4 linked regions of the Neurospora crassa OR74A genome follow. The protein of the gene in region 2 interacts with the protein of the main gene of each other region in a pairwise test. Links are inferred from orthologs where the notes say so. Each region holds a gene or a part of one and is shown on either strand. Other genes may lie near its edges.

What was found.
Region 1: the proteins of NCU04637 (region 2) and NCU10073 interact in binary tests that used the Saccharomyces cerevisiae proteins (3 or more experiments, as listed by UniProt). The link is inferred for Neurospora crassa OR74A from reciprocal best matches to the Saccharomyces cerevisiae genes RVS167 and ABP1.
Region 3: the proteins of NCU04637 (region 2) and NCU02978 interact in a two-hybrid assay, tested with the Saccharomyces cerevisiae proteins (2 studies listed by BioGRID). The link is inferred for Neurospora crassa OR74A from reciprocal best matches to the Saccharomyces cerevisiae genes RVS167 and SLA1.
Region 4: the proteins of NCU04637 (region 2) and NCU01947 interact in binary tests that used the Saccharomyces cerevisiae proteins (3 or more experiments, as listed by UniProt). The link is inferred for Neurospora crassa OR74A from reciprocal best matches to the Saccharomyces cerevisiae genes RVS167 and NVJ2.

What each region holds. Positions count from the first base shown.
Region 1 is NC_026501.1:4,040,205-4,045,396, forward strand, and holds the start of NCU10073 (actin binding protein), read right to left. Parts: upstream 3,021-5,192; 5' UTR 2,783-3,020; coding exon 2,587-2,782; intron 2,513-2,586; coding exon 416-2,512; intron 341-415; coding exon 216-340; 3' UTR 57-215; intron 1-56. UniProt on the Saccharomyces cerevisiae protein: Regulates ARP2/3 complex-mediated actin assembly. Recruits ARP2/3 complex to sides of preexisting actin filaments, which may promote nucleation or stabilization of filament branches. Binds to actin filaments, but not actin monomers.
Region 2 is NC_026505.1:1,374,853-1,379,727, forward strand, and holds NCU04637 (BAR adaptor protein RVS167), read right to left. Parts: upstream 3,488-4,875; 5' UTR 2,772-3,487; coding exon 2,736-2,771; intron 2,578-2,735; coding exon 1,236-2,577; intron 1,159-1,235; coding exon 1,133-1,158; 3' UTR 388-1,132; downstream 1-387. Other genes in the region: NCU04636 (cysteine desulfurase), read left to right, coding at 4,096-4,366, 4,439-4,875. UniProt on the Saccharomyces cerevisiae protein: Component of a cytoskeletal structure that is required for the formation of endocytic vesicles at the plasma membrane level.
Region 3 is NC_026501.1:8,519,542-8,524,676, reverse strand, and holds the start of NCU02978 (cytoskeleton assembly control protein SLA1p), read right to left. Parts: upstream 3,297-5,135; coding exon 3,099-3,296; intron 2,958-3,098; coding exon 1,514-2,957; intron 1,452-1,513; coding exon 1-1,451. UniProt on the Saccharomyces cerevisiae protein: Component of the PAN1 actin cytoskeleton-regulatory complex required for the internalization of endosomes during actin-coupled endocytosis. The complex links the site of endocytosis to the cell membrane-associated actin cytoskeleton.
Region 4 is NC_026501.1:1,899,089-1,904,139, reverse strand, and holds the start of NCU01947 (hypothetical protein), read right to left. Parts: upstream 3,540-5,051; 5' UTR 3,069-3,539; coding exon 2,593-3,068; intron 2,535-2,592; coding exon 1-2,534. Other genes in the region: NCU01948 (60S ribosomal protein L21), read right to left, coding at 4,874-5,051. UniProt on the Saccharomyces cerevisiae protein: During endoplasmic reticulum (ER) stress or when cellular ceramide levels increase, induces contacts between the ER and medial-Golgi complex to facilitate non-vesicular transport of ceramides from the ER to the Golgi complex where they are converted to complex sphingolipids, preventing toxic ceramide accumulation.

The sequences.
Region 1 (5,192 bases), on a different chromosome or scaffold from region 2:
TAAGACTGTCGTCAATCGTTACGCACTATTACTCTATCTAGCAACCAGTTACTCACTCCATTATTCTCTGTTGTTATCACTTGTAAAGTATATCTTCGCGCAACAACCCTACTGTACATACTAGTTAAGTTTCAGCTGAAAATTATTAAACTAGACTACCGAATAAGCTGATTTTCCATTACCAGCACCGTGGATTTCGACACCTTTGCCTTCAATCATGCATTAAGCTCAACGTAGTTGGCGGGGAACAGACCTGACGCTCCACTGTAGTGGCCAAACCACCAGTCATCATCGGGAAACTCCAAACCCGTAATCGTGGCTCCTTCGGGGAAGCTCAACTCTGTACCGATTCGTTAGTCACTACTAGGCCTGGGTTTCGCGGCTGATATATGCGGGGCTTCCAAGCATCACTTACCATTATCTTCTGCTGCCTCGTAATCAAACTGCGCCGTCGCTGTTGGGCCAGCAACTTGATCGGCCGGAGTTGCAGGTGCTACCGCTTCGGCCTGCGCAGATGAAGGCACAACAGGGGCTTGAGTCGCCGCTACTGTTGGGGCTGCGCTGAAAGCAGCAGCAGGCTCATCGTCTTCCACGACTTCCACGTAGTTGCTAGGGAAAAGTCCACTCTCCCCTTGCGCATTGGTTCCCATCCACCAATCGTCATCCACCATCTGAATATTAGTGACATAGTCACCTTCCTGGAGATCAATCTCATTATCCTCGGCCTTCTCGTAGTCATATTGTACCAGAGCACGCTTGCCACCATCTGAACCAGCCTGCTGAACCTCGACACCCTGGCCAAGAGATTCGCTGGCAACATTCAGGGCAGCAGCACGCGGATCGTGGGTATCCTCCTCTACGGGGAGGTCCTCTTCTTTCGGTAGATCCTGCGATACGGGCACCGGACGGGGCGGCAGATTGCCAGCTGGCTCCACCTCAGGCACTGCGCTCCGAGCAATCGGGACTGCGATGCGAGCAGGGGACGAAGGCTCCTCTTCATGCTGGTCGGCCGGTTCGAGTGCACGGACTTCTTCTTCTAGCTGCCTTTCATCGTTCCCTTCCTCGTCGTCAGCAACAGAAGGCCGGGATGGCAGACCAGGAAGAGCAAAGCCACCGGAAGGACGGCTTCCGGTTGGCAGGGGCGGCGGAGTATGCCCTTCTTCACCAGTGGCCGGGCCGGGAGAAGGCACGCTTGGTGCTGACCGTGACCCCGTACGGACCGCCACAGGTGCCGTATCCTTGAATCTCTCGCGCAGCGCAGATATGCCGCCAGCCGGTGAGGCAGGTGCTTCAGGCTCATATTGCTCTTGCGAGGCGCTTCCTCCGGTTGCGTGTAATTCAAGACCTCGGCTGTAATTGGGTGCCTGCACAGGTGCCCAGCTCTTCCCCGCGTAACCGCTTTTCCATTCGCTGCCGCTCTTCTGGGCAGCAATAGGCGCAGCGGCGGGAGAGGGAGTGGACGCAAATGCAACTGCACCGCCTTGTTTGGCCTTCTTCTCGGCCCAGATTTGGGCCGGCGTCTTGCCTCCCTGATCCGCAAATGTTCTGCTGGCAGCCCCAATAGGAGTAGCGGTAGGAACTGCAGGCGAGCTGAAACCGAGAGGAGCCGGCGTGGGAGCTTTGGTGCCAGTAAATGCAGCGCTGCCTACAAATTTCTTGGCAACTTTGGGCTTGGGAAGTTCGGTCAAGCGTTCTGCTTGCGTAAATACAGCAGTCCTCTCTGCCAGACTCCTGGGCGTCTCCAATTCTTCCGGTTCAGTCGGACGTTGTTGCGCCTTTGCGCGAATGGCGGCAATATCAACCTTGCCCACCGGTTCATAGGCTCCCTTCACGGTTACAGGCCGATCATCATGGGTCTTCTTTGCTTGGGCGCGAAGAGCAGCAATATCAACCTTTCCGATAGGCTGATAACCACCCTTAACAATGTCTTCCGGCCGGTCATTTTGCTTCTGAGTTTCTTCGGAACGCGAGTCATCTTTGTTCTTTCTGAGTTCGGCAATGTTGACCTTGGTCGGCTGGTAGGCAGACGCGACCTTCTCCAGCTGGGTCCGCGTGACTGGCGGTGCGTCGACACCCCAGCCGTCGTCATCTTCGCCCCCGTGATTCCGGATCCGTGCGGCAACAATGGGGTTGAAAGAGCTGGCCGATGTAGAGGTAGTCGGGGTGAAAACGGGCTTCTTTGCAACGGGGGGCGGGGCAACGGCTGACGCGGGTGCCGAACCACCGGCGGTATATTTGGCGCCTGAAGCATCGGCAACCTTTTGCACAATAGACTCGGGAGAAAGGTCTCCGTCGGAGCGTGCTGTTATTTGAACATGGTAGCCGTGAAGAATCTTGGAGACGGCGGCCAAATGGCTGGTAAAGTACCCCTTTGTTCGCTCGGGAACACCACCGCCACACCAGGCAATCAAGACGTTCTTAGGAAGTCCACTGTTGGGGTCCTTGACTTTGACGAAGGCAAATTGAATGCGACCCTCGTTGAAGTCCTCGATCAGGTCGGAAAGCTCACCATCTGTGACGACTGATAATTAGTCGGGCCCATGGATATGGTGGGAAGGAGAAGTTGTGGGCCGGCATGGCACTCACCGCCAGTGCTCTCGACCTTCAGGATGCTCTCTTTTGCCCCAGAGTCTTGGAAGGCATTCAAAAGAGGCGCCTGGACGGAAAAAAGGGCCCAGTGTGCGTAGGTAGGAGATGCCGAAGATGGCGCAGGGCCGTTGATGACGCCCTGATAGCTGCTCTTAATGGAGGGCCCGTGGATGGACAGGTTTAAGGAGGCCATGGTGGGCGGAGTGGCCAGCTTTGTAGAGCGGGATGGATGGGTAAACGACGCGAAGGAGCTGGAGCGTTCAGCAATCGGAATATCGTGAATTGCTGATAGCTGCAGCAACGGCTACAGATTGTTGGTGATCTAGACGTCGGTCGGGTCGATATTGGAGGTCGAGAGCAAGATGAAGGTTCCGGTGTTTGGAGGCGCATGGACGGGACAAGTCGTTAGAGCTACGCAGCGCTGAAGTTAGGTACCCTTTAGGTACCTAGGTAGGTAAGTGGAAGTTGGGGTGGAGCTCCATCCGCGCACATATGTCAATACACTACTACACCTCTGCATAGCTTTGAAATGTTAGCGCGGTACAGCCAAGGCGCCAGCCAAGCCACTAATCCTATAGAAAACTAGGATTGTAATACAGCTAGGATTCTCATTTATTGTAATAGTAGTTAATAATATCTTCATCTGCCTTAATAACCTTTCTTATCCTCTCCAGCATTGAATAGGCTATAAAGGATTAGAGTAGTAATATCGTAAGGGATAGTTATTGCTTGTTATAGTAGAAATGATAACAATAAGAAAACGCTTCTACCGATTCCTAGAAATTTATATTACAGAGTTTTAGTACCTTACCCAAAATATTATTAAAAAGGTTATATTAAAATACTTCTTGCTGGTAGTTCTGCTAACTCTCTACTCATTTGCAAATTATTATACTTGTATTTTAGATTTATATATAGGTGTATATAACTAGGACTACTCGTTCTCTGCCCTCTTCTACTTTATAGGACCTTACTAGACTCGTATTTCTAAAGTAGGTACCTATAAATAATAAAACTATATAAGAAAAATACCTACTAGGGTTAGAGAGATAATTTATATTAAATATAATAAAATAATATGTATTTATAATCTAATAGTTATTTAAAAGTAAAAAGAGAATTAGAAAATAGTTAGAACAAAGTAATATACTTATCCATTAAGCTTTTTCTCTTTTACAATTTTCTATATATTAAAAAGTTGTTACTAGATATATACGATTAGCTGTAGATTAGAGTACTGGGCTAGTTAGACTACTTAATTGAGCTGTACCTAGCACTATAGCCGGAGTACGCTTGGTACTATAGTCGAGCGTATGGTAGCTAACTACTATTGGTAGGCGGGCCGGGAAGTAGGGAATCTACCCCTATAAACTAAGGTAAATCCTTATTCTAACTAGGGTCCTTATATAAAAGGATCCCTAGTTAGGCCGGCTGTTAATTGTAAAATTTCCTTCTATATTTCACTTTCTTACTATAAGGGGACAGTAGAGCGATATGTAGGTGCTGGCCTTATGTGTATATATTAAAGTTCTACGAAGAAAGAAAGGATAAAACACTACCCTCCGGGTCGCTCGAGTACTAGAGTTTAAATAGCCGTATATTCTAGTAGCTACCTTATAGCCTAAAAAACTGCTTTGAAACCGGAAACGCCGATTTCTAGTCGAGGAGTACTCTAAAATGAAAATTAATAACAGCAATCGACTTAGGAGGGTCGTTTACGTTCCTTACAATATCTTACGACGAATATAGCAATAGTATTGTATTGTCGTTGCCGATAGCTATTAATAGCAGTACTTGTAGATTTGAAAATAGTATCTACAACCCGCTTGCGGAAATCTCAATATATAACAATTCTAAAGCCGTACTTACTATAAAGACTTTAAATAAAATAAATAAAGATAATAAAATATTAAAGAAATTTATTGTTAAAGCGAATAAATTTGCGGACTATAATATTATTTCGACTAAGGACCGTCGTTAAATTCGAGAATTACTTCTTAAATTTATAAAGGTATACGTTAAAAAAAGTAGGTTTATATAACCCGAAGTTAGTAAAGTTAGAATCGATTAATTTATTATTAAGAAGGATTTTAATAATTTAAAGAAGGATATTTTAAAGGAAATTAAGAAAGGCGTTTAGGAAGTATTAAAGTATTGGGCCGATATTATAGTAAAAGTTAGCCCGAGTAAAATTAGTACTATCTTTTAATAATTATTTACTATTATTAAAAAATTTATCCCCTTTAACTTTGAGTAATAGTTTATTATTAAGGGAATAATAATTACTATTAAATTTATAAACTATTTAAAGAAAGATATGAAGACGACCCTAATTATTTATTTAAGTAAAAAGAAACTTAGCCTAATAATTTATATAGCTATTAGAATATTAATAATTAATAACTACATAATTATATTTAATAAATTTATATATATTTAGTACTAGTAAAATTAAATATAGATTAAAGATATTTTCGGCCCCAATATTTTTATTACTATAAATATTATAAGCGTATTGGTTTAGGGCGTACCCTAGGATAATATTAATAATTATACTATAATGGAAGTTATTTTAAATATAATAAAGGAGAGGAATTTAGAGG
Region 2 (4,875 bases):
CAAATAGAGAGACGATACCCAAAAAATGGCGGCCAAAAGATTGCCTGGAGTCTGCGAGTTACGCTGCGCTTGGTGGTAGTGGTGGTGTTTGTGAGAAGAGGAAGAAGAGTTTGTGTGCAAGTGAGAAGAGGGGAATTAAAAGCCCATAGATCTGGGTTTGCCCGACATACTGGAGATTGTGACTCCCTGTCTTGCTTCACAGCCACGGAGGGACTCATGGAGAATTGGAGGGAGGAGCATACAGCTGGGTTGCTTGGCGCATTATTGGAAGCTTCTGTTAGCCTTAGTCTTGTACAACAAGGCAGGTGCATGTCTCTCACTTGAAGCTAAACCAGAGGACCTCGCTATCCAGGGCACCGAAGCATTGCATCTTAGCTGGAGGCCATCGTTCAACATCGGTATTTCCAATAAGGACCCTCCAGTACACTTGCCATGGCTTTCAGTGATACCTACCTGTAGATGAGTAGCAGATATGATACACATCTTTCTTTCCTCCCAAAAAAAAACCTGAATCCTTGGAGTCGAGCCAGGAGGTGAAGCCGAGCCAGGTAGTTTTGACAAGGCAAGCGGTTGTTGGTGACACTAGATTCAAGCTGAGCTGCGTGGTCGTTGCGTTAACAAAATTAGAAATTAGCTTCACCTGAGGAAGCTTGACGCGCGGGCAAGTACCTAACCTAAAGGGAACAAACCACGACGGCGATCATGGCAAAACGCATCTAATCAAAACTTCCAGGTTTGACCCAATGCACTGTGACCTTTTCACTCCGTTGCTTCCTTCGCTCCAAAACAATACACCCGCCATTTCCCTAGACGCAAACACCCGGGACCCTCTCGCTCCACGCTCCTCGCAGGTCCTCCTTCGCGACGGAGTTTCCTCCTGCCTGACTATTCTCAACAGAGTCACCTGCCGCATATCATTGCATCCGTATAGGATCACCAAGGCCCTGCTACAGAACGTCACGGCCTGGTACGATGTAGACGAACTAGAAAGAATCCGTGTTGTGGTTGCAAATGAATAACTCGACCATGAACGGGTCCACAAAAAAGGGGTATAGGTTGAAGTCGTGCTGAGAAGTGAAGTGTGCTGAAAGCAACTCTTTGATAACTACATTTACAAGTAGCCTTGTATCCTCTAGCTGTTTAACTGGACATAGTTTCCTAGCAAAAGACCATTGTGTCAGAACATATCCAGCTCGCAACAAAGCAAGCACCCTAAGAAATAGTACAGTACGTACCTGGGAATTGACCCTGCTTTCCATGCAACTTTCCAATCCACCACTCATTCTCGTTCGCAGTCCTTGTTACTATCTCAATCACATCACCGGCACGGAAGCTCAGATCGCCCTCCGCCTGCGCCGAGTAGTCGTAAAGCGCTGTGACGGTCTCTACTTTGGGTGCCGCCGCCATGAGGGCCTTGGGCTTGGGCTTCGGCGGTGGGGGCTTGGCCTTTGCAGCCGCCGCCATGGACAACGACGAGGGTTTCGGGCTGGCAACTGGAGCGGCGTAGGAGGCGGGCGTAGCATGTAGCGTGCTCGGCTTCACCGAATACGGTGGCGGCGCATGCGCTTCTACTGTTTCCGCCTGGGTTTCCCAAGGTCGCGGTGCTGTGACGGCAGGAGCTTGTTGTTGCTGTTCCCAGGGGCGTGGGGCTGTGACTGAGGGAGCCGCCTCAGGCGGACCGGTGGAAGTGGTCGTGGAGGAGCCAGCTGTAAGTAGGCCTGCTGGCTTGTTTCCTTCGAGAGCGCCTGGACGTTGGTACTTGGGCGGTCGCTTCATACCCGTGGTCTTGAACTTGACAATGGAGAGAGCCTCAGCCCGCTCCTGGACGTCACCTCGCTTCGCGTAAAAGGCCTCCTCAATGTCCAGGGTCAGGTCGAAGTAGCCAATGTCGCAGTGCTGCATCTTCTCGTGCAAGGTGTAGAAGATGTTGAGCTGCATGTAGTAGAAGGACTGGAAAAGCGGCTGAATGAACTGGCGTTCGAGGGCAAACAGCTTGGGTAGCTCGTCCTTAAGCAGATCGTTGAAGTAATTGTACTCTTGCGTGGCCTGCTCAACTTCGTTCTCAGCCTTCCACATGGCCTTCTCGTCCTTTGCCGACCGGTCTTTCTTGTCCTGGAGCTTCTTGAGGGTGGCGCGGTGTCTGTCGTAGTCCAGCTTCTTGTGCTCGCGCTTCACGGCCGTTTTGCGAATGACCTTGATCACATCGAGGAGCTCGTTCGCTGGCCGAATAACCCTAGCCTCAATCATTTCCAACTCTGGCGCCAGTGTTTCCTGCAGGTCCTTGACAACGGCCTCGTACTCCTCGCAGGCGGCAATACCCTCATAGTTGCCATGGGGAACGAGCGAATCGGGATCGGACATGCGGCCGCTGATGGGCTTGTAGATTTCGGTCATTGCCTTTGAGAACTCGATTTGGTGTTGCAGCATGCCATTGATGGCCTCAAAGTACTTTTTGCTTTCATCGTGAAGGCGTTTGGTCTCGGTTTCGAGCTCCTGGAATCTGCGCTCCGAGTCGATGTAGACAGGGTCTTTGGTATGCTCGCCGAGGTTAAACTTTTGCTTGAATTGTTGTGGTGCCTGGTTTCTGTCGTGTTAGTGCCTGTTTGCCAACCCGAGTGATTCGGCGCTATTTCTGCCACAGACGGGGGACTCGACGGGAAGGGCGGAAGTGATGATGACGCTGTAACCGAAACTAGGGGAGGTGAGATCAACTAGGTATGCGGGGCAGAACCTACGCGGACCACGCTTTTTTGGAAGCCCCTGAAGCTCATATTCTGCTACGAAGCCGTATGATGTCTGATGTGTATTCGGTGTTTGTATGGAGATGCGCAAAGCGGGTTGCTGTTCGGAGAGGTTGAAGGCAATCGGTGGTCGAGTGCCCTCTTCAAGTCGGATCCGGATACGATGGTGATGACGCTGGGGGTGGGCAGGGGGGCGGTGCAGGTCGTTTGGCTGGTGGACGAAGTCTTGGCTGAGCGAAGCTTGCGACGGTTTGCGTGGCGCTGCTATTTGCTGAATGTTGGACACGCCGCACACAGCGACCTCGTTCCAAGATGTAGTGTGAAAAGTCTTTTTGTCTAGGCGTCTTGTGATTTCGGTTTGTTCTTGAATCCCGTCGGTCGGACCCTTGTCAGCAGTTCCGTTCGAGGTCCGACAAACTTCCTCGGGGAGGATTCGGTCTTCAACGGTAGGAGGTAAAGTAGCTAGAGGTAGCTGTCCTAGAGGTAAGATGCTACTAAATAGTTTAGCAGTGTAAATGGAATTCAAGTAGGTTGTCGGCGGTTATATGGCATGTCACTGATGGTTCAAGTTATAGTCCAACGCAGACATCCAATGCGAATGGAAACAGAATACTACCGAGGAGGTAAATAGGTACCGTCATCGGTTGTTCTGCTTTTGGTCGATGAGACCCCGGAAAGGAACGAATTGGAACGACGGGGTAGACCGACTGGGTCTGGGGCCCGCTGTAGTGTAGCTTTCATCCCAGTGGACATGCCGATTGAGAGAACAGATGGATGCCTGCCCCGGGTCAGTGCTCTTCCTTTCTGTGCAATGATGGATCAGATGCGTCCGCGGAGTCCGTTTCACAAGTGGACATTCCGCACTGTATTTGTCAAGTCAGTCGCCGCGGTGCACATCGAGCGTTCAGTTTCCGTCATGCCCGGCGGCCCATTCTCTAACATTTTGGAGCAGCGTCATTTTCGCCGTACGTACATACGCGCTTGTCCGATGTCCGAGAAAGAAACAGGTGGGGCCATCCGATGGCAGAATGACCAATCAAAGTGCCAAACCTTGTTGGTTGTCGCCCCTCATTGGCACATTCCTTTATCACCGACCCCTCCGAGGCCAAGTCCGCGTGCGGATGCCGTTTGTTTCGATTTGTTCTTTTCTGTATGGCGGAAATTCCACTCCGACCGCCGAAGAGCGGGAGGCGGCAGCTCCATCTGAATTTCTGAGTGTGTTTTGAGCCGCCCCGCCCGCTGCCTCCATCCGTTTTTGTAGGTTTGGTTACAAAACGAACTTTTTCTCCCTCATCCGCCATCACCCTCACCACCATATTCTCTTTTCCTCTCCTTCTTTCTTCTTCCTTTTACCATGTCCACCATTGCGCCGTCCGTCTTGCGACAGGCATCGCGCTTGGCCGCGGCCGCTCCTCTCCGCAGCGCGCGTGTGCTGTCGCGGGCGACTACTGCGGCTGCTGTCAAGACTGCTTCTGCTTCCAGGAGCTATGTGACCGAGACCAAGAGGAACAACGCCGACGTGCAGGCCGAGCATGCTATCAAGCTGGATCACAGGGAGATGGAGAAGCAGGGCCTCACTATAAGCGCGCAAAATGGCTCGAGCCAACACGTCAGCCCCATGGCTGGTAAGCATCATCATCACCTCCCACCTCTTCGGAGACATATTGCGCAGTCGTCCTCGTTGCTGACTCAACTAGATGTTCTCAGCAATGCTACCGTGATGGATGAGGGACAGCGTCCCATCTACCTGGATATGCAGGCCACAACCCCCATCGACCCCAGAGTGCTCGATGCCATGATGCCCTACTTCACCAACGTCTATGGCAACCCCCACTCGAGGACACATGCCTACGGCTGGGAGACTGACAAGGCCGTTGAAGAGGCGAGGAAACACATTGCTGATCTGATTGGCGCTGACCCCAAGGAAATCATCTTCACCAGCGGTGCCACCGAAAGCAACAACATGAGTATCAAGGGCGTCGCTAGGTTCTTTGGCCGGTCCGGCAAGAAGAAGCACATCATCACCAGCCAGACAGAACACAAGTGTGTCCTCGACAGCTGCAGGCATCTCCAGGACGAGGGTTTCGAAGTGACCTATCTCCCAGTGAAGAGCAGCGGCCTGATCGACATGGCG
Region 3 (5,135 bases), on a different chromosome or scaffold from region 2:
CTGCTGGGGCTGCATGCCCGTCATCATAGGTTGCATGCCCGTCATCATAGGCTGTTGCATCTGTTGTTGCTGGGCCTGCATCTGGGCGGTGTACTGCTGCTGAAGACGTTGCTGGGCGAGATCGCCGAGGCTCTGGCCAGGAGGAGCAATCTGGGGTGCCTGGAAACCGGTCATCTGAGGCTGGATAGGGGGTGGCGTGAAGGCGCTGGGTTGAGCGGACTGAGGCGCCGAGAGGGGGCGAGATGGAGGTGGAGCAACAAGACCACCCGGGGCCGCAGTGAACTGAGGAGCAAGAGGTCTTTGACGGGCAATGTTTTGAGGAAGGATCTGTGCACCAACAGCAGGAGGTTGCATACCGGTGAAGAAGCCGGGAGTGGCGCCGGTAAGCTGAGGGACCTGTGCAGGAGCAGCAGCAGCCGGAGCTGGAGCCGCGGAGGGCGGAGGCAACGTGATGGCCGGTTGCACAACTGGCGGAGGAGCGACCTTCTCGGGTTCCAAAGGCTGGGTAAGCAACGACAACTCCTGCATCGACTTGGTAAGAGCCGCCGGCGGAGGGGGGGCCGGCGCGTCAACCAGAGCTGGCGCAGCAGGGGCTGGAGCGGCAGCGGGTGCCGCCGCAGGAGCGGGAGCAACGGCTTGCGCAGCCGGCTCAGGGGTTTTCGTCTTGGTAGGCTTGACATCCCAAGCATCATCATCAAAGCCACTGGAAGGCTTCGAGGCAGACGGTGTTGGCGTAGCCGCAGCCGTAGGAGATGATGACTTGCCACTACCAGCACCCGAGTCCTTAGAGAAAGCGTTGGGATCAACGGTGTTGCTGACCTCGACGGGGGGCGCCGGCCTGCCCTTCTTCGTGTTGTTGCGGAGCGCACCTCCTGGCCCAGAGAAGAGTCCTCCCTCGCCCTCTTCGCCTTTCTTGTTCCGCATGTACTTGTTGTCCAGGTACCGCATGACCTTGATAATATCACCTTCACGCAAGCCCAAGTTCCTCAGCACAGTAGCATCAACATCTGGCAAGACACTTTCGTCGATAGCCTCCCGCAGGAAAGCTTGAGAATACCGTTCGCACAAACCAACCTGTATGTCACAACCAAGGAAGAAGTTAAACCAGTCGTAGTCGGGCTTCTTCGAGGAATCGATGGTGGCGCCAACCCGGGAGCTGGAACCACGGTCTCTTTCCCTGTCGCGCGTCGATCGACTAGACCTCGAAGACTCACCGGCGGATCGCTTGTTCCTAAGATCGGATAGGGGCTTGTCTTCGTCGAGAGATTCGCCAGTTACGCGCTCCACGTACTCGAGATCCTCAACTGACATCTTCGAGACGGGCACGGCGATCTGCACACCGTTCATCTTGTGGAGCCTGATCTTGCCATCCTTGACACCGAGGAACTGGGCCTCAACGCTGAAGGACTTGGATCGATCGGTCCATGTTCGCACTTTGGAAGGATCGGGCTCTGCGACAAACTGTCAGTATTCTGCATACTCTGAAAGAAAATCTGGACATGGGTGTACTTACTCGACTTGCTTGACGACTTGGAGCTGCTGTTCTGACCGGGTTCGCGCCTACTGCTTCGCTGTTTTCCTCTCCTGTTATCATCTGTGGCCGGCAAACTACTATTTCGTTCTTGCAATTGCAATCCTGGGCCTACCTCAGAGTTCCTCTTCTGCTTCTCCTTCTCTTCCTCGCGCTGGGCAGCCTTGATAGCCTCCTTGGTTAAGCGCGCCTCTTCCAGGCGGTTCTTCTCGACTTCCGACATGCCCACGGCAATACCGGTAACGGCCGTCTCCGGCTCTTCCCACACGCCGTTGATCTCAATGTAGCTGCTGGGAACCACACCCTCCTTGCCGTTCTTGACGCGACGCACCATCCACCACTCGTCACTCTTGGTATCGTCGAGAATAACTACCTCATCACCAACGCCGACAGTAACCTCGTCCTCACCCTGAGCCATAAAATCATACAGCACAGCACCCTTCTTCTTCTTGCCTCCGGCTCCCGCGGCAATGATCTCCTTGAGTCCCTCGAGGCGCACAGTTCCGGCCATGTCGCCCAGCATCGCGACGATCTCTTCAGCGGTGTCCTTGGCGCCCGCATGAAAGTCAACGCTCTTGCTTGGTCGTACGAGCTCCATAAACACGTGCTTGCCCTCCCGAGAGTAGTGTGTCATGCAATCGGCCCGCCATTCCTGCGATGGACCGTCGTGGGAATGTTCCGGCGCTATGAGAATCATTCCCGTCCTCAGGTTGATGCCCAGCGTGGTAGGCATCTTCTTCTTCTTGCCCATCACCGACGTCATCTCGTTGATGTTGTACATGTGGAAACCGCCAGGGGTAAGCGCGGCGGTCTGAGGAGGAGGAGCCTGGGAGGTTCGCGGGCTAATGCCATAGTCGTCGGTGTCGTGGGCTGCTGACTGAGCGGGCGGCGGCACCGGTCTGTAGGATTTTTGCTCCGGAGCAATTTGCGAATCGCCCCGCGGGCGGCTCGGAAGCGGCGGGGACCTTACCTCATTTTCGTAATCTTCCGAAGCGTATGACTGTCGCTGGGGCTGGGGAACACTGATAGGCGCTGGAGGTTGGAAAGAAGAGCGGTTGGCCATAACTCCGGCGATGGCGGCGGCAGCAGGGTTGGAAGCGGCGACAGGGGTGCTTGGCTCGGAGGGCACACTCCTGGCGGGCAGGGGCGGGCTGGCTACATCGACGCTGACGCTGGGTGTCCTCTGCGGAAGAGGAGGAGGGGGGGCAGTCGCTTCTTCCTCCTCCTCGACCTGGCCAGCCTGGCCATCGCCCAACTCGATGTAGTTGGCGGGCGCGAAGCCGTAGTCGCCATCGTGGCCAACAAGGATCCAATCGGGGTCGGAAGTGTCGAAGACTGAGAGCTGCGCATCCTCGGGGAAGGAGAGCTCTTCGTCGGTCTGACGCGTGTACTCGTAGAGCGCGCGAGCGTATGATACGGGTTTCGCCTGGCGTCATGGTGTGCGCGGTCAGTTCAAGTGATCCATCTGAATGCCAAGGCCAGCCAGCTTGCTATCCTCCAAGCAGGTACAAGTGCCCAGATGACACTGCACGCAATCCAGATCTAGACCTCGGACCACATTACATACCTCCTCAATGTAGTTGTTGGGGATCAAGCCGACGGGCTCGTCATCGTCGGCAGCATTGGCCTTCTTCTTCGCCTTCCACCAATCGTCCTCCTGACTCTTTTCCAACACATAGAGAATGTCGCCCTCGGAGATTGTCAACTCGCCCTCGCCCTGGGGCGTGTAATCGTAAATGGCCCTATAGACGCCGAGGAAGCCCATGGCTGCTGCGGGAAATCTGCTCGTATGATGCCCTTTGGATGGCAGCCGACATGAACCGACGCAAGGGAGTTGCTGTTGCGAAGAAAGGAATTGGGGAAAACGAAAGGCGCCGTGGTGCGAATGGTGGCTGGTGGTGTGGTATCACAAGTCTTGGTTCTGCCGGGGAAGGGGGGGTGTGTGTGTGTCCGGTAGGAAATGGAATCAAGGAGCGAGCGGCGGCGGCGGCGGCGGCAGCAGCGTGTGAGAGCGGGTGACGCTGGGTTGGTGACGGGTGACGGGGGTGCGGCGCTGCGGCTGCCGGGCAGAAGGTGAACGAGGATGGAAGCTCTTCTAGAGTGTACGGGTGCTCCTGAAGCAAGGGGTAGCCGCTGAAGCAAGCACTGTAGGTATGCCCGCTTGCGCGTAGGATTGCGGCCGGCCAAGGCCCTCCTGTATGGTACCTACGGATAGGTAGCCTGTAATTTCGAGCGAGGGAACGTCGGGAAGATGTCGACGACAGCGAGCACGCGCGGCTGCGGTGACCCTGCGAGGAATTTGACCTTTATCGTGATCAAGAGTCTGGAGTTGCGGTCGAAATGGTCGAGCCAAGGGAGACGTTGGAAATTACTCTATGTCCAAGTCGTGGACCCAAGTGCTCGTTTAAAGGAGCCGGTCCGGGGGGTGTGTGTTCGGGGGGGTGGGGGGGTTCGCTGAATTTGGGGGAATTTAGACGATGCAACGAAGCGGTCGCGAAGACACCGCGATCTTCATGGATGCTATCACCAAAATGTATATTTATGTAATTGCAATGTCCACGGAAAATCCATTCGAGATCAAATCAAGCGTAGGTAGGAAGTGCACTATTGACCCGAGGACAAATGAACACCTTGTTCGTACCTTACAATTTGAAACCCCAAGAACAGGTACGTAACCTCCCAGCGCTGGAGGTGTATGTACCTAGCTTTTATTTGGAATAACCGCAGCGCATTTCGAGGGTTCAGGTCAACCCCAATGACCGACCAACAACATCGAAGCAAGGTACTGGCGCAGGAACGAAGGATTCTTGTCCAAATTGAACCCGAAAGAGTGAGATCGTGCAGGAGCAAGCACAGCCCAGCCGCATCTCGAGCGCTGCTGGTACGGCATAGCACCTGAATAAGTACCTCGAAAGCGCAACTTTCACTTTGTTACACAGTATCTATTGATTGGCCGTAATTGTGGCTTAATTGTGACAGTCAACTTGGGCTCTTCTTCACGCCCAACTTTCCCATCAATCAATCAAGAAACAGCAGCCAGCTGGTCCCGACCGGCAAACCCGGGCATTCATCAGCGATCTACTGTAACCGCACGTGTAGATAGCGTCATATCCCGGGTTTTCCCTCTTGACATTTGGGCGCTTGGTGGATCGTTCATTTCAGGTCGGGGTCCGCTGGGCATGGGAGCCGTTCAGCGGGTGTCGATGTTATTTATACGCCCCCTGAATTGCATTTGTTTCGTCGTAACTCCCTCGCGTACGGTAACGTAATCATCAATACAAGCTAGTAGCAACTATTGTCGACCCCCTTTTTCTTGGTGGAGATACCCTGACCAAAAGTCTAAACGCCAGTTCAACGTAGATTATACCTATATCGATCGAATCACCCTCTGAACTCGGTTCAATATTCTGTCAAGTCTATATAGCATGACTCCAGATACCAGTACCACTTGCATTACCCAGCCAGTCCAGACCCAGAATGGCCCAATGTCTAATATCTTCAACGAAGATGCCCTTCACTCACTCACTCACTCACATACCACCTCCAAACAGTCAGGACAGTCTTGCACAGGCGTACTCCCCACCTCCTGCGCCATCCCCACCGT
Region 4 (5,051 bases), on a different chromosome or scaffold from region 2:
GCGATGCCCTCTCGCCAACGCTGCCGTTAACTGTAGGAGCCGGGGCTGCGTCAGTATCTTCAACCGGGCCGGCGTCATCCATCCAAGCCGAGAACTCATCGTCATCATTATTAGGCGCTGAAACTTCAAGCGATAGCGCTTTCACGTCTTCGTGATTTTCCTGGCCTGTAGTCTGCGTATTACGGATTGATGGCGTCAAAGGCTTGGGGGGCGACTTCGAACCGACAGGTCCTTCTGTCGCAGAACTGCTAATTCCACTTTGGTTTTTGCTTTTAACGGTGTCTGATGAAGGCTTAATTGGTGATGTTTCATGGGCCTCGCTCATAGGTGTAGTCGGTTCTGACTCCGCAGGAGCCGCGACTACAAGCATGTTCACAGTATTTCCGTCATCGTCGAGTTGCTGCTCAGCTCGGTATTGACGACGTTTTGGGAGAGGGGGAGGTGGTACAGGGCGGCGTTCGGGTTTGTGATCATGGTCTTCTGGCGTGCTCAGTTTACGTTGCTGCAGTGATTGATCTGGAGGCGGTATCGGTTTGCGTCTCGGGATACTGATGGATGTTGCCTTCAACCTTCTGTCTGGCATCGGAAGTGGTGTTCCTGGAGGCGGAAGCGGCTGCCCACGTCCCATAGGCTGATTCAAGTCCAGCACCGATGGATGATCATCGGTGAATGAAGCACTCCTACCCGGTGTCCCATCGTTGTTCGAGTGTCGTTGGAACGCATTGAGCCCCCAACGCTTGGCAGATGCAGCCGCGTTGGTAACAAAAGCGGCGGCCAAGGCAGTCTTTTTCGCAGAGTCTGGGTGATTTGGCGTGGGTGCTCCTGTTGTCGATGATACAGTATCTCGCCGGGCAAAAATACCCTTGATGGTCCCAGTTTGACTTTTCACAGACCCCCTTATCGACGAAGCTGGAGACCTCGTCCTGCTTTCCTCCTGGCTGCCTGCGGATGTGGCTGTGTTTCGTCTTGCCTGGTTCTTTTTATCAAAGTCCTGCAAATCTTTTTCCGCATCCACAGCTTCAGAAGAAGAGGACCCGGAAGACTGGTCTGATAACTTGGGTATGACGGACGGCCTCAGGGGCGAGTGAGGCGGCTGTGGTCGTGCTGGAGAATGTGCCTGGACAGACAACGTTGCCATCGCTGATGCAGCAAGGCTTTCGTCCGGTGGTGACGAGGATGGTTTGAAGACGTCAGCATTGATGGCGTCTGTGCTAACCGTTGGCGTCGGAGGATGAGTGATCGAAACCACCCGAATCGGAGGTGGTATACAAGTTTCACTCCTCGTATCGGTCTTGAGCTCGTTTTGATTGTTCGTGCTCAATGAGGTCGTAGATGCAGAATAGACAGGGTCCCCCTTCGCTTTCGTTGTCATCCGCCCAAAAAGGCTAATTGACGGTTTCTTGTCGAGAGTAGGCATGCTGTGGCTTTTTTCCACGTGCGGCAGATCGGGTTCGTGAACGTCTTGAGTACCCTCCAATCGCTCCACCTCGTCCAAATCGCCTTCTTGAGCCGCAGCTGTTTCCAAATCCATGGTTGAGACGACGGTGTCATCATGAAAGATACCACCTCTCCACTTCTTGTGCTCTGTATTGAAAAAAGGCATATCATCCCAGAAGGGTAAGACAAGGGTCTCGGCCATAACCTCCTTGATTTGCTTCTCGATCTGGCGGAGAATAACGGTATAGGTAATCTGTCTAGAGCTGACAATAGGTTCGATTGTCATCTCCATCTTTGGTGCCTGTTGGAAAGAGAACCATAGGCGATTACTGGGTGGGGGCTTGATTTTGAATAAGATATGACCTTCGAGTTTCCGTACAACCACGGCAAGGACAAGATTAACCTCTCGTGCTTTGAATCGCGCGCCTAGATCAATCCTGGCTGTCGCCGCAACCTCCAAGCGGAAGTTGCCAGTGTATCGTACATCTGCCTCAATGCAGCATTCACCCTCAACGGTCAGATCTCGTAGCCGTGGATTCGTGATAAAGGGTGCTGACTCTCCGGTATCGATACCTTTGATAGCAATGTTGGATAGAAATGCCGGCCTTTTAACTCGAGAAATCTTCTTTGTGAGCTTCTCCCGTATCGCGTTCTCTATGTCCTTGGTCTTGTAGATGCCCAAGAAGACGCGCCCAATCATCGCGTTGAGCCAACGGGTTTGCATGTGTTCTTCTGACGAGTGCAGTCTCTGTACCAAGTTGATAATGTTCTTGACCTCAAACTGGATAGGAGATGGGATATCGCTTTCCGTGTCCAGGGCCTGCTGTTCCTGATTTCGTAGCAGAGCAAAGTAGAAGTCTTCCTTCGCAGAGCAATTTTCGGAAAAGAGGTAGAAAGGTTTCGAGACCTGACTATCCGGTCCTATTTCCAGCCCGTCTGTTTTTCGCGAGAGACGTATAGCGTTGCGCTTGATGTACAGCTCGCCCTCAGGAGTAACTTCCTCGCCGGAGTATATGCTGACTTCATGGTGCGCCAGCGCCACAACGTGCCGTACTTCGAGTTGTTCGTCATCGTCAAAGAGCATGAGATGGCCGTGTCTGTCACGAGCATCAGAATCCAGGTCGTATTGAGAGTCAAAAGGATAATGTCACGCACCTCAGGACAACATAAAAGACATTGCCGGCCTTCTTAGGGCGCTGACTAGGACCGTTCTTGTGGTCGATGGGACTGGGACCGGTGGACTTGCGATCGAATATACTCCGATACATTGTCTGGTAGACACTGGGACTGGGAGCGGCGACGGTGGTGGAGCCGACAGGTGTCGACCGCTCGATAGGCTTCGCGTTGATTCCCATGGGCGTATACTCGCGGCAAACTGCAAAATACCCAGAAGCGACACCATCGTCGTGATGGGTCACCCGGGGCTTTCCATCCTTCTTTTGCTCCGCCTTGAGCGCATCAAGATCGTCACCAGGCTGGATCAAGTCGTCGGCTTCTGGGTCGTGGTGCTGGACGGCATCTGGGCGGTAAGGAAACGTAAGGTGAGCATGAAGTAGAGCGCAAGCCACCAACAATGGCAGAAAGGTAAGGCCTCCGAAGAGGTATATCAACAAGAAGACGGTCCAACTCATGGCTGTATATTTTTTTTCCGTCGAAGGGAGATTGTCCACTGCAGTGTTCGAGTCCAGGATGCGGTCATGCAAGATGCGCCAAGACAGGAAGGACTGACAGCGGTCGCTACTCCTCGCTGTTCGGTGTGCCCACCGCGCTCAGGTTGGCTACCTGCTCAGCAGCTCAGAGCAGATGGTTTGCAATTGCGGCATCGATGCGGACTCGAACTCAGGGCTCGCAGTCGCAGTTGCACGGCGAAGTCATGAGTCGTAGGTTTAGTTGGATTACAGACGCGCGCGCTCAGACAAACAGGAAACGGAAGCGGAAGTGGGCGCGGTGGGTTTGAGGTGGAAGGAACTGAAAGATGACGGATGGCCTGCAGCTGTGTTGAAAAGGCCACTCACTCCGACCCTGCACTGGACGGCACGGACGGGACACCAAAACTCAACGGTAGCCCGGGAATGTGACAGGCCAGAGGAGCCCAGAAAAACAACCGAAAACTGGCTAGAAACTACACTACATAGTACTATGTAGTAGTGACAGAGCCAAGGGATCAGATGGTCGGTTCCTATTCCTGTTCCTGTTGGTGACAGCATCCTCGGTCTGGTTGTGTGCAAGAGTGTCAAACCACTTCCGATTTGGAAGGGTCCAAGACGGGTACCTAAAGGTACGTATGTGTACTGGTTAAGAAGGTACACTTTGCCTAGAGGTACCTACCTATGTACATACTAGATTTACACCAGTAAGTAGCATTTAGACAAAGAGGAGATCCAGTAGCTTAGCCACATGCTGAGAGAGCCTTATCACTTCCCCGGCCGCAATATCCAATTGGCCAAATCTGTTTATTTTTTGAGCCACATGCTACCAACGCCTCGTCAATGTCAGAAAGCCACAACGAGACCAAGCAAAATCCCTGACGATGCTTCGGCAGGCATTCGAGGTCTGGAGCGAGCTTGCTCGACATTTCCGTCCACATGAACCTCAAACCCCACAGTGAATCTGTCATCGATCTGTGATGGACCGCCTCAGCCCGCCGCCTTTGTCCAACCAGATGATCATCATCATAGTATACAATCCAAGAACATTCTTGAGAGTGGAACGACCAGTGACAAACAGATATATAACTGAAGCTCCGTTATCAAGTTTCATAAGCATGAACGCTTTCAATCTAGCAAGGCTGTTGCGTTGATGCGCCTGGGGATGTATAAATGGCCCTGGTTGGGTATCGAAATTCTACAATTCAAATAATCATCAGTTGGCTCAAAAGATGGCATCTCTGCGTCCAGGTCGGAAACGGAAGCCCAGTATAACGCTGTAGTCATTTCGTTCTACTCAAATCTCTCCCATCTTTCAAGTTGGATTTGAAGACCTTCTGAGCGTGCTAAGATGCTCACAATACGTACTGGTAGCAGAGATTGGCCCGGTGAAGTGGTTTGTCACGTTTGCTCTATTTGCGTATCCCTATCAACCGCAAGATGCTAGGTCGAGAAACAGAGCGGCCGCACAGCCAGACAGGGCTCGAATTGTGTGTCCCTGTGTGACTCGTCTGGCCACGAGATTCGTCTGGCGTAGTCCATCCGATCACAAGTTGGCTCGAGGCTCAAAAGCACGTACACCTGATCAGGAGGAGGCGCATCGAGCCGGTTCTCGTGTGTTTTGGTTTTGGTCATGGTCATGCCACTGGTATTTTTGATTCCTATAAGCACTCCCGCATCCCAGACCAAAAAATCCATGCAGGATATCTATCCGTGTCGAACGCGATGAACCCCATGCAAAGAAAAACCAAATACGCCAGGTCTACCACCAGTCCTATCCCAAGAGTACTTTAGATAGTGGTCTCGTAGGCGACGGGGGCAACGGTCTCGGGCTTGTTGTCGACGACAGAGATGGTGCGAGCCTCACGGGGAAGAAGGGCCTGGCGCTTGAGCTGGACGGGCTTGCCCTCAGCCTTGGCCTGCTTCTTGAGCTCGGCGTTCTGCTTGACGCGGCGAAGGAAATCGTCG